Mus musculus: one gene and its partners. The protein of the gene in region 3 purifies or fractionates together with the protein of the main gene of each other region. This does not show direct contact. Links are inferred from orthologs where the notes say so. Each region holds a gene or a part of one and is shown on either strand. Other genes may lie near its edges. The genes, in order: Aak1, Necap2 and Ap2m1.

Region 1 (3,649 bases), on a different chromosome or scaffold from region 3:
GAGAGGCCCATTGGACACGCAAACTTTATATGCCCCAGTACAGGGGAACGCCAGGGCCAAAAAGGGGGATTGGGTGGGTAGGGGATTGGGGGTGGGTGGGTATGGGGGACTTTTGGTATAGCATTGGAAATGTAAATGAGCTAAATACCTAATAAAAAATGGAAAAAAAAAAAGAAAGAAATTCTGCCACCTTCAAATACTCTATTTACTCTATTACTCTTTGCTTTATATGGGTCTCACTACATTGTCAAGGTTCATTCCAAAAACCCGTGGACTCAAGCAACTCTGCTGACTTAGCTTCCCAAGTGGCTGGGGCTAAAATGCACCTTAGACCCATCTTCTTGGCATTTCTTTTATGTCTTTCTAATCCACACTGCAGGGAGGTACATGCAGAGAGTTGGCTCAGTGGTTAGGAGTGCTTGCTGGAGTATAGATCCCAGCACATATGTAACAAGCCAGGTATCCAGCAAATGTCTGTAATTCTAAATTCCATTTAGAGTTGATCCATTGCTCCTCTTGCCTCTGAGTGTTCACAGGTATATGTGCCCAAATATATACATATGTATACACTCACACAGACACACACACACACACACACAATTTTTTTAAAAGAGAAATCAATCATTATAAAATATATATGTTCAAAGTTAAAAAATATGTAAAAATAATGGAAAATAATATATCCTAACTAAATAGAGTACATGAACCTTGTTTGGCTACTGATCCAACCAAGCTAACTTAAACTATGCAACATCTAAAACCTTGACACTACTGGATAGTGTGTCATTGTTATTCCCCTCTCCCCCATTTCCTTAGAAAGTAGCTCTGTCAGTCAGGGTGTTAAGTTGGGTAAATTCCCCAAGGCTTGAGGACATGTTCTGAGAGTTATTAACTACACTTCAATGCTTCAGTTTCTACATCTGTGGAGAAGTGGAGACATTGGTCAGTGACTCTTGGTCATCCTAGCACTTCTCAGGCCTTTGAATACTAATATCCCTCTGTACAAAGTAAGGGTCATATAGAGCTCCTCACCTGCTGAGTCTGAGCCTGCTGCTGCTGCTGTTGCTGCTGCTGCTGGTAAAAGGTGCCTGCAGGCTGTGGTGGTGCTGTAGGCTGCTGAGGCTGTTGCTGCTGTTGCTGCTGTTGCTTGAGGAGGTGTTGCTGCTGGTGCTGGGGAGTGGCCTGGGCCTGGGTGGGCAAACCTTGTGTCTGGGTAGCAGGTGTCTGCTGTGGGGTGGGTGGAGCTTGTGGTTGCTTGGGTTGAGATGACTGAAGAGGTTGACTGGGTGTGGCTTGGGCTTTAGGTTGGGAAACACTGGGTAGAAGTCCAGGCTGATTGCTGGGTCCTACAATGAAAATAAACTCCATGTAAGGGCTTAAAACTCTACCAGACAAAATGGCTTTCTGAAGCCTGGCAGTGGTGGTGCACACCTTTAATCCCAGCACTTGGAAGGAGAGACAGATGGATCTCTGTGAGTTCGAGGACAGGAAGGGCTACACAGAAAAACCTTATTTAAAAAGGCTTTGTGATTTGCTACACAAGAAATGGCAGAAGTAGGCAGACTTTCCCAAGCTTTGTCTGTTCCTCACTATTTTGCCATCTGGGATGTTCTACTCGGAATAGCTTTCCACTTCTTGCCAAATCACATGCTTCCACAGTTTCAAAGGCAGGTGGAACTGTAGACTTCAGTGCCTGCCTCCTGCAGAGGGTTTCCCTCACCCTCCATCTCATTCAGTCACCTTGCTCTGCAGTCAGCACCTCTTGTTTCCCTTACACGCAGCTGACAATTGAAGCTAAACATAGTCTGTGTACCAGCTTGCATGCAACAGCAAAAGCATTCTTTGATATTTATGAGTAGTTTACACAACTAGCATCTGCATGCCTGGCTTTATATGGCTAGCCACCAAATTAATTAGAAATGGTTCCTGGTGAGAAATGTGATGGCTGTGGTCTGTGACTTCTTGTTTTGGATCAATTCCCTTTATGAAAAAAAGCTCACTCCCCTTGTTATAACAGAACACAAAGATGATAAATACTCCAGTAAACACAGCATTAATAAAATATCCTTCTGTGGTTATCAAAAATAAGTAAGCCTTGTTTCTTTAAAAGCAAGGAAAAATATATAAGATAAATAGGGTGGAGTGGATAGAGGTGCAATAAGAAAATAAATGCAGACAACAGGCTTCAGAGGTCTTAGTGATCCACCCGAGTACAGAAAGAAGTTCTTCCTTGTACTGCCACTGGCCATACACACTCATAGGCAGCTCAGCGCATTATTCTTTAGGCTGTGCCTTCTAACACTACCATCAAGAAGCACTGGAACAAGCTGCAAACCAGTTACTGACCTGCAGCCTGAGGTAGGGGCTGAACAGTGGCCCTCTTCCGAGGAGTCAGGGCTGGCTGGATGGGAAGGATGCCTGGGTTTGGCTGAGTCTGCCCAGCTTTAGGCCTCTGGCGGGGTGCGATTGAAGTCTCTGTGGTGGGAATGGGATCGGTCAGTCTAGAAAAGGAAAAACAAAGCTACTGTTAAAATGTGAGAAAATAGAGGGCATATGCAGAACACAAGATGTCTGCCCTTAACACGCCTCCAAAACATTCAGTGTGGATTGGCTTAATCAATACTTCCCCAAATGCCAATTCACCTACAAAGGCAAACACATCAAAATAACATCTCTCTCATCAACAACCTTAAAGCCAAGAAAGCACAGAATGATACAAAGTACATAACCTTCAACCAAAATTACCAAACCCAGTAAAGCCATCTTGGAAAGCAACGGAGATTCAAGGTCATTTGTGAGGGGGCCGTGCAAGTGCCAGGACGCACGTGTGGAGGTCAGAGGGCAACTCTAGGTGTTGGTTCTCATCTTTTACCTAGTTTGAGACAGGGTTTTCCTTGTCAACACTGCATACACCAGGCTAGCTTGTCTGTCAACTTCCTGCAATTATCCTATGTCTGTCTCTCAGCTACTGGTTGGGGCATGCTAGGATTACAAACACATGCCCTACTGTAGGCAGCTTCACATGGGTTCTGGCAAGTAATAATTACCCACAAGGCCATCTCCCCAGCCCCAAATAAGGACATTTTAAGATAAACACAAACTAAAGGAGCTCATGAACACCAACCCTGCCTGACATGATGGTACAATAGCGGCACAAACAGTGGGGAGTAAACACCCACTCTTTGATTGGATTTAAGGTCCACTCCATGAGACGGAACCCATGCCTGATACTGCTCGGGTGGCCAAGAACCTGAGACTTGATAGGCTATGGCCTAGCGGAAAACCAAGTACTATTATTCTATTAAAGGAACACAGCTATAAAATGACTTCTAGTGATATTTTCTGCTATATCCATACACTAGTGTCTTGCTCAGTCATCATCAAAGAAGCTGTCTCTTATTGCAGTAGATGGGAACTAATAGAGAGACCCACAACTGGACAATATGTAGAATGTAAAACTGGACACTCAGCCCTAAATGGGATGTCTTCATCAAACCCCAAACCTCAGGGCTAACAGAGAAGAGGAGGTGGAAAGATTCTAAGAGCCAAAAGGGATAGAGGGCACCAAGGAAATGTCTTCCAGACACAACAGGACTGACAAACATACACAGTCTGTGTATTCTGCACAGGTTCAAGCCAGACGGCGTCC
Region 2 (3,749 bases), on a different chromosome or scaffold from region 3:
CAGCCTGGTCTACAAAGTGAGCTCCAGGACAGCCAGAGCTATACAGAGAAACCCTGTCTCGAAAAACCAAACAAACAAACAGAAAACAACAACAACAAAAAAGTCCTTATTACAGGGCTGGAAAGATGGCTTAGGAGTTAAGAACATTGGCTACTCTATCTGAGGACCTGAGTTCGATTCCCAACATCCACTTAGCAGATAACAAGGGTCTGTAACTTGAGTCCTGTGATACACGCAGACAAAACATCCATACATATACAAAAAGTAAATGTAAAAATGAAAACTGTAATAGCTATTCTTGGCAAGGCTGTCCCTCAGGAAGTCCTCAGAATCCGAAGCTCGTAACTGTTCCGTTATGAAACAGTCTTCAAAATCTCCAGTCATTTCAAGTTGTCCAAAATATTATTCTTAGCCTGTGGCCATTCAAAACTGCAGGCAGTTGGAGCGTGCTGGCATTCAAAACGCCCACACGCAGCCGCTGTTGCTGGCCCCTATTCTAAAGACCACAGACCTTCACCCAAGTGGGAATTCCTTCCCAGCTTCCTGTCCATAGAGGAAGCAGCTCCGGGCCTATTGTGTCTGTTAAGGCACTGTGATGCCAAGCTAGCGGGACCAACCGGCTGGGGGACCCTTGAGACCATGGAGGGAGTACAGAGGGACAGGATCTTTGGTAGAAAGAGTGTAAAAGTGCATGAGGGTCCGGGGGAGGAAAGAGCGGCTAGGAAGGATATTCTCGGCTGTATTCCAGGTAGGAGGGAACGAGGACCCTCGTCAATGCCTTCTTTGGCTCCTTTAGAAGGCAACAGTGTCGTCGTCAGCAGCAGCAGCAGCAGCAGAAGCAAAGAGAAACCCCTGAACAGCAAATGCCATGGGTACTTTCAGAAGGCTTTTCTGGGAAGTTCTAAGCAAAGCCACTGTCAGCTCTCTAGAACTCTAGCTGGCAGCTGTGGCAGATCCACATGAATGTACATCTTCAGCTAACAAGGCAGCAGGCTCAGTTTCTGTTCCTCTTCCTGGCGCCGCGGGCTTTAGATTCAGGCTAAGGAGAGCCCGAAAGGTTGAGTGTAGGGCGGGCAGCTTCCTCTGTATCAAACCAGCCTGGCTGGATACTTGGTGACCCCACCCTCCGGAGGATCAAGAGAAGCTAACCCTAGTCTACTGAACGAAGACCCAACAGATAGGGGTAGACTGCCAATCTCCGGTTTGATAACAAGAAAGGAAAGGGAGACAGCTGTGGAGATGATTCGGTGCAGATGAGCAAGCTTGAGGCCCCGAGTTTGGATCTCTAGCGCCTAAAAGCCAGGTCTGGCTCCAGCTACCTGTAGACCCTCCACTGTGTGGGGTGGGGCAGAGAAAGGAGTTTCACTGGGCTTGCTGAACACCTAGTCTAGATGAAAACAGCCAACCCCAGCTTCAGTTAGGGGCCACCTCAAGGGAACAACGGACATGAAAAAAGCAAGACACTGGCTGGAACTCCTGTGGCTTCTGCATGCACCCGCACCACACCCAGACACGCAAAAGCAAGCACAGGCAGCTGTAGCTTGCTGACCTCCATTCTTGTCATTTTAATATTATTTTAAAATCATCGCACCGACACAGTTAAGTGTTCTAAGATACCCATTCAGAAAATGTTATGAGCCTGTGTTACATAGCGCAAAGGGCAGATGGAGTTGGCCCTCCAACACATTTGTGGTACCCGACGACCTGTTTCCAAACAACTCAGACACCCATCGCCTTCGAGAGCCACCCAGCCTAAGTAGCAACACCCCACCACAGGGCACAGGACACACCACGTATTTTTCATCTTTTTCAGTTAGGGAAGGTGTCCAACTTTGTGTCTCCTCTCCTAGACTAGAGTCCTGGGTTCCCTTCCGGAGACACTCCGTGTGTTTACAGGCATTTGAGTTTATTTGCCTCAGGTGACGCTCACTCAAGACAAGGGCGGCGGTATCCTCCCAGCTGCAAGTATGTTGTGATCAGGGGTGAAACTGGGGTCAGGAGAGCCGGAGATAGGAACAGCGTCCCTGGGCTTCGTGGGACGGGTCCCCCAGATGGCCGGGTTCCCTCCCGTGCCCTCCCGGCGGGGATTTCCGCGGGTGGCAGGGTTTTCTGGGATCCCGTCACGACTGTCGGTTAGCGCTGTGACACGACCCGTAGACCCCGCCGAGGGAACCCACTGCGCTCTCGGGTCCCCAGGAGCTGGCTGCGACCGTTGCCGGCGTCCCGCTGACGGCTCAGGGCCAGCGACCCCTCCTAAGTCTGGCCCCGATTAAAGTAGCCACAGGGCTCCATCCTTTCCGCCCCTAAACCCGACAACCGGTCCTCGTCCCCCGCAGTGCATGCCGGGGCGGGGGACGGGAAGATTAAGCCAGGAACGGTCACCTGTAACCACGGTTGGTGGCCCGCGGCGGGATGCGGTAGACGTGGACCTCCGGCTTGACACACAGAACAGACTCGTACTCACTCTCCTCCATCTCTATCGCCCGAGCCCTCGGGACTTCCGGCTTCTCCCCGCCCCTTCAGGACCGGAAGTGATGCGACTCTATGACCAAGTTCTGTCTAGAGCGGAAGCTCCGGGGGACCCCCCGATCGCTCCCGAGTGCCCTCTGCCGGGCGCCTCAGATCAGACCGTGAAGCGATTGCTCTCTGCTGCTGTGGGACCTGAGAAGCTCGAGATGCCGCTGATCTGAGCCTAATCCCGAACCTGGTTGTAGTTCAAACTCTATACCCTAGACCAGGGTGGCTGATATGCAAGATACCCTGCAGCCCTGCCCTTCTGACGGAATGTCCTTGTCCCCGCCAATCCCAGAAGGTTCTCAGAGGCTTCTGGAGGAATCTCGCTCCACAACTTTTTATAACCTACTATGTGCGCAAGGCCCCAGTGGCTTAGCGCAACAGGAGTACAAATCAAAGTTGTGAACCAAAGTTCCTGGTTGTCTTTGCTGTGAAGAGACACTATGACCAAGGCAACACTTACAAAAAGAAATCCTTTCATTGGGGGCTTGCTTACAGTTTCAGAGGCTTAGTCCATGATTAGCATGCGGGAGAGCATGGCGGCATGCAGGCAGGCGTGATACCAGAGAAGCAGCTGAGAGCTGTACGTCATGATCCTGGTGGGGGTGGAAGGGCCACAGCACACAGGGATGGGGCGGGAGGAAGGGGAGCACGGACGACAGTGACCCGGGCCTGATACGGGCTTTTGGAAAACTCAAAGACCAAACCCCCATCACAGCTTTTCCAACGAGGACACACCTCCTAATCCTTCCACGAGGTTGATCACTTGTGAAAAGCTAGAATAAGGCAGATTGGGAGGCGAATTGATTTTGAGTTATCTTGACCCTCTAAATAGCCATTTATTGGCCACCTCTGTATGTGACCTAAGATCCTTGTGACTATTAGGTAAATCCTTTGGAAGGTACAAATGCCAGCTTTCACCAATAAAGGCTAAGAATGTCATCAGATAGCAAGTAAGGGCCATAAATGATGTTTCCCGGCTTTGCGGTGACTCACCTGCCTGAGGTCTCCACCAACGGTTTGAAAAATGCCTCGGTTTGATGTTTGTTTTGTTTTGTTGATTTTTTGGGTTTTTTGTTTTTGTTGGTTTTTTTTGAGACAGGGTTTCTCTGTGTAGCCCAGGCTGTCCTGGAACTCATTTTGTAGACCAGGCTGGCCTCAAACTCAGAAATCCACCTGCCTCTGCCTCCCGAGTGCTGGGATTAAAGGCGTGTGCCACCACGCCTGGCTCAGTT
Region 3 (3,654 bases):
ATTAAAGGAGAAATGGGATTTTAAAATCCCATGCCCAACTAAACTGGAGTAGAGGGCAAAAGGGGTCTCTTATGTAGCCTGGGCTGTCTTGAAACTCTCTATTTAGACCAGGATGGCCTCAAACTCACAGAGATGCTCTTGCCTCTGCCTCCAGAACTCTGGAATTAACGGCATACGTCACCATCACACCACAGTCACAGATTTAGCTGAGGAAAACATTAACGTTTAGCTGTCTTCCTTCCCAGCTTTTCTGTTTGGATAATTATCCCTGAGAAAGGGATCAGTCCAATCCTAGAATATATATAAAATACATACAAATAAATTTTATATATATATATAAAAACACACACACACACGTTTGGGAGAATCAAACGTGGTGTTTAAAAAAAAAAAAAAACAGTAAATTCAGCAGTAACAAGCTTATGCCAAGTTGTGTTTGTAAAGTAGCCAGTCTTCGAAATCTGGAGACAATAAAAGACTATAGTAATTCAAAATTTACAATTGGTTTCGACAAATAGCTTTGGTCTCTTAAAGCTACCCCACTTAACTAGGAACAGGAAGGGTCGCAGAGACTACACTTCCCGTGATTCTCAGTGAAGCAAACAATGGTTGGAGTGTATCACGACACGTGTTGCTTGCAAGGCGCACTAAAGCTGACGTCTTCTCTGTCTTGAAGGCTGTCGGTAGTTGTAGTTTTGTTGAGCCTAGGGCGCTCAGATGTGTCAGCTTGAAAGCTGCGGGGACTGACGGGACTTGTAGTCGCCGCTGGAGGCGAGCGCGCAGGCGCAGCTGCGATCGGGGCGGGGTGGGGCGGGAGCACTGCAGTGAAAGCCGAGGCAGCAGACAGGCGAGCTGGGGGCGGGCGGACATCTTGGGATCCGAGAGTGGCCAGGCCGGCCTTGTGGGGGCTGCTGACTCCAGGTGAGCTGGGAGGCTTGACTTAGAGGTCCTTATCAGGCGACGAGGGTGCTGTGGTAGCCTGCCTTGCCCTGCACGGTGCTGGGTGGAAAACTGCCCGCACCGGGGAGTGGCCTCAGCCTTCAGACCCGGGAGGGAGTAGACAACCGGGCGGGGGTGCCTTGGGCGCGATTGCAGCAAGGGCGGGGAGCAACGCCTTCCAGTGACCCGCCAGGCGTCTCCGGGAAGAGACTAGGGCTGGAATCCTAGAGCGGGAGACGCCGCGCGGCGCCCCATCCCTAGAATCCTGACAACCGCTCAACCCCGGGGTTTCCTATTTCCCCATCCCCCAGGACATTGACATCCCCTGGTGCCACTCCCTTGGACAGTGACAGGTCTCTCTCGAACACTGAGAGATTCCATCCTCCTGGTTTACCCCCACGGCTCTTGTACCTCAGACCTGTGACAGCCCCCGCATCCCGTGGTGACATCTCCCGGGCCTAGATGTCTTCTCCTCCCTCAGCTGAGAAAAACTCCACCAGCCCCCTATGCTTCACTAACAGAAGAGTAGGCCCTGTCTCTCAGCTTTCTCTTTTTCTTGTCTATCTCTTTTCGCTGTTTTTCGCTCCTCCCAAGCTCCTATGACCTTTGCCATAGGAGACCTTTAGGGACTCCCACAGCTGTATTTGGTGCTTTGGGGTCATCCTGGTCTTTTGCTAGCAATTCCAGCTAACCCTTTCCTTAACTAAATATTGCATTTTCGTCCAGGACACACACACACCGCCCCCCCCCCCGAGGTCACACACACCATCCCCCACCCGAGGTTGATACCTGTGGACTTGGTCCTTTGCTCAGCGCTCAACCTCCATTTTGCATTTTCTTTCTCACCTTCTTTGGACTTGTCACTGGGCTTCAAGGGTTAACTTTTCAGTTTCAAAAAGTCTGTTAAACTAACCTCAGTGAAATTAATATCTGGACTAATCCAGAAATCTAGAACCAGATTAACCCCGTTACTCAAATATTCTACCTTAATTTTGACCAAAATAATTTGGGCAGTCGAGGCATTCTGTTATCCCTGCCCATTGCTTGGTAAACACCAGGCCAGAAGTGACTGACTTGGCAGATTTGGAGACACAATTTAGATGGCAGGATTAATGCTACTACATACAGACCTAATTTTTGTCACACTTAGAAATTTTGAAAAGACAGTAACCAGAAATAACTGTAAAAGGGGCTCAGCATTGAAGAGTTCTTACTGCTTTTCCAGAAAACCTGAGTTCAGGTCCCGGCACATGTCATTTGGCTCAGTACCACCCTAACTCAGGCTTGAGGGGTGGAGGGCAGTGTTCAGTCTAACACCTAGCTTCCACACATACAGCACACTGGCATGTACCTGTGTGTCGGTAAAAATGAAATCTTTTAAAGAACTTATTAAGCGGGCCTCTGTTCCTTTGTCTGCTTATCTCTCTGCCTGGGAAAGATGTGCCTGCTTCAGCCACCTTCCTGGCTCTGTGTTAGAGCCTAAGGGCCTCTTCCCTCCCAGCCCCACCTCACCCTGCACACCCTTTCCTGGAATGTGTAGACTTCTAGAGGGTCATGCTCCGTTGCCTTCTTGGAAGGGTAATGCTTGCTCTAAAGGTTATGCCTGGTGGCAGGCCCAGGCTCAAGCCAACTAGAGTAATCCCTCCCGCCACGCCATTCCTGCATCTGCAGGCAGGCCTTCTCTGTGACTCACTGGAAGCAGCAGGAGTGAGAGTGCACAGTAGGGGGCTGAGCTCGGCCTTGTGGTTACTTTCCTCAGCCCTCAGAAAAGGCTGGATAAAAATGGCCTAAATCCCCGGGCCTCACACTCTTAAAGTGCTGTCCCCTATCCAGTGTGGAAAAACAGGAACTGGAGCCTCGGGAGGGCTGCGGAGGACTTGGGAGTCACTTGCTAGAGGACTGAGTCAGGAAACAAGGCGGGCCTGTACAGCCCCATTGGCGTGGACGGGTTCTAAAGATTTCCCCTTTCCCTAATCCCCCCTCCCCTTTCCTACCTAGGTCTGTTCTCAGAGCAATGGGTCACAGAGACTGAGCTGCCACCATGATCGGAGGCTTATTCATCTATAATCACAAGGGGGAGGTGCTTATCTCCCGGGTCTACAGAGATGACATCGGGTAAGTCCCTTGACTGAGCATGCTGTGTTTCAACCTCCCTGTTGCCTCAGCCTGAGCATGCAATATAGCCTGGTTCCCATTGGGCACTGGCCTAGCTGCTAGGCTCCAGGCCTCGGAATGACACCTCCACCCCCTAGGGTTAGGAATCCCTGCCCTTCCTGCTCCCTGTGTCTTTGGGGTAGGTCTGGTGGCTGAAGACCAGGTGCTTTTGCCTGGTCTTCCTTTTAGAAGGGAGCACTCTCTCCAGTGGGTGTAGTTAGTGTGTGTGTGTGGAGATACTAATCCATCTAAATCTTGCTTTCAAATCCTTCTCATATTGAGAGCCTTCCCTAGATCCCCTTAAAACCTCTCTGTAGTCTGCTGACTCAGCTGTTTTCAGTTCTCCTGGGCCCTCCCTGGTTGTGAACCGGCTTACTGTGCTCTGCGGGTCATGCTGCCTTTGTAGCTCATCTGGGTGGAGCTGGACAGCTCCTAAGACCTCCTAAAGTCTCACTTCTCACTCTGCCTCACACTCTGGCTGCTTGCTAAGAGATCCTCCACTGTCTAGCCTGAGGCTAGGCTCTTCTGTTTCTTCCTGCCTTGGTTTTCTTTCTCAAAAGA

Evidence for each region.
Region 1: the proteins of Ap2m1 (region 3) and Aak1 purify together in Homo sapiens (affinity purification with mass spectrometry; 5 studies listed by BioGRID and IntAct, counting the BioPlex papers as one, with this or other methods). This does not show direct contact. The link is inferred for Mus musculus from reciprocal best matches to the Homo sapiens genes AP2M1 and AAK1.
Region 2: the proteins of Ap2m1 (region 3) and Necap2 purify together in Homo sapiens (affinity purification with mass spectrometry; 4 studies listed by BioGRID and IntAct, counting the BioPlex papers as one, with this or other methods). This does not show direct contact. The link is inferred for Mus musculus from reciprocal best matches to the Homo sapiens genes AP2M1 and NECAP2.

The regions. Positions count from the first base shown.
Region 1 is NC_000072.6:86,953,956-86,957,604, reverse strand, and holds part of Aak1 (AP2 associated kinase 1), read right to left. Parts: intron 2,502-3,649; coding exon 2,347-2,501; intron 1,347-2,346; coding exon 1,033-1,346; intron 1-1,032.
Region 2 is NC_000070.6:141,075,831-141,079,579, forward strand, and holds the start of Necap2 (adaptin ear-binding coat-associated protein 2), read right to left. Parts: upstream 2,528-3,749; 5' UTR 2,475-2,527; coding exon 2,383-2,474; intron 1-2,382. UniProt on the Homo sapiens protein: Involved in endocytosis.
Region 3 is NC_000082.6:20,534,681-20,538,334, forward strand, and holds the start of Ap2m1 (AP-2 complex subunit mu), read left to right. Parts: upstream 1-799; 5' UTR 800-921; intron 922-2,937; 5' UTR 2,938-2,980; coding exon 2,981-3,054; intron 3,055-3,654.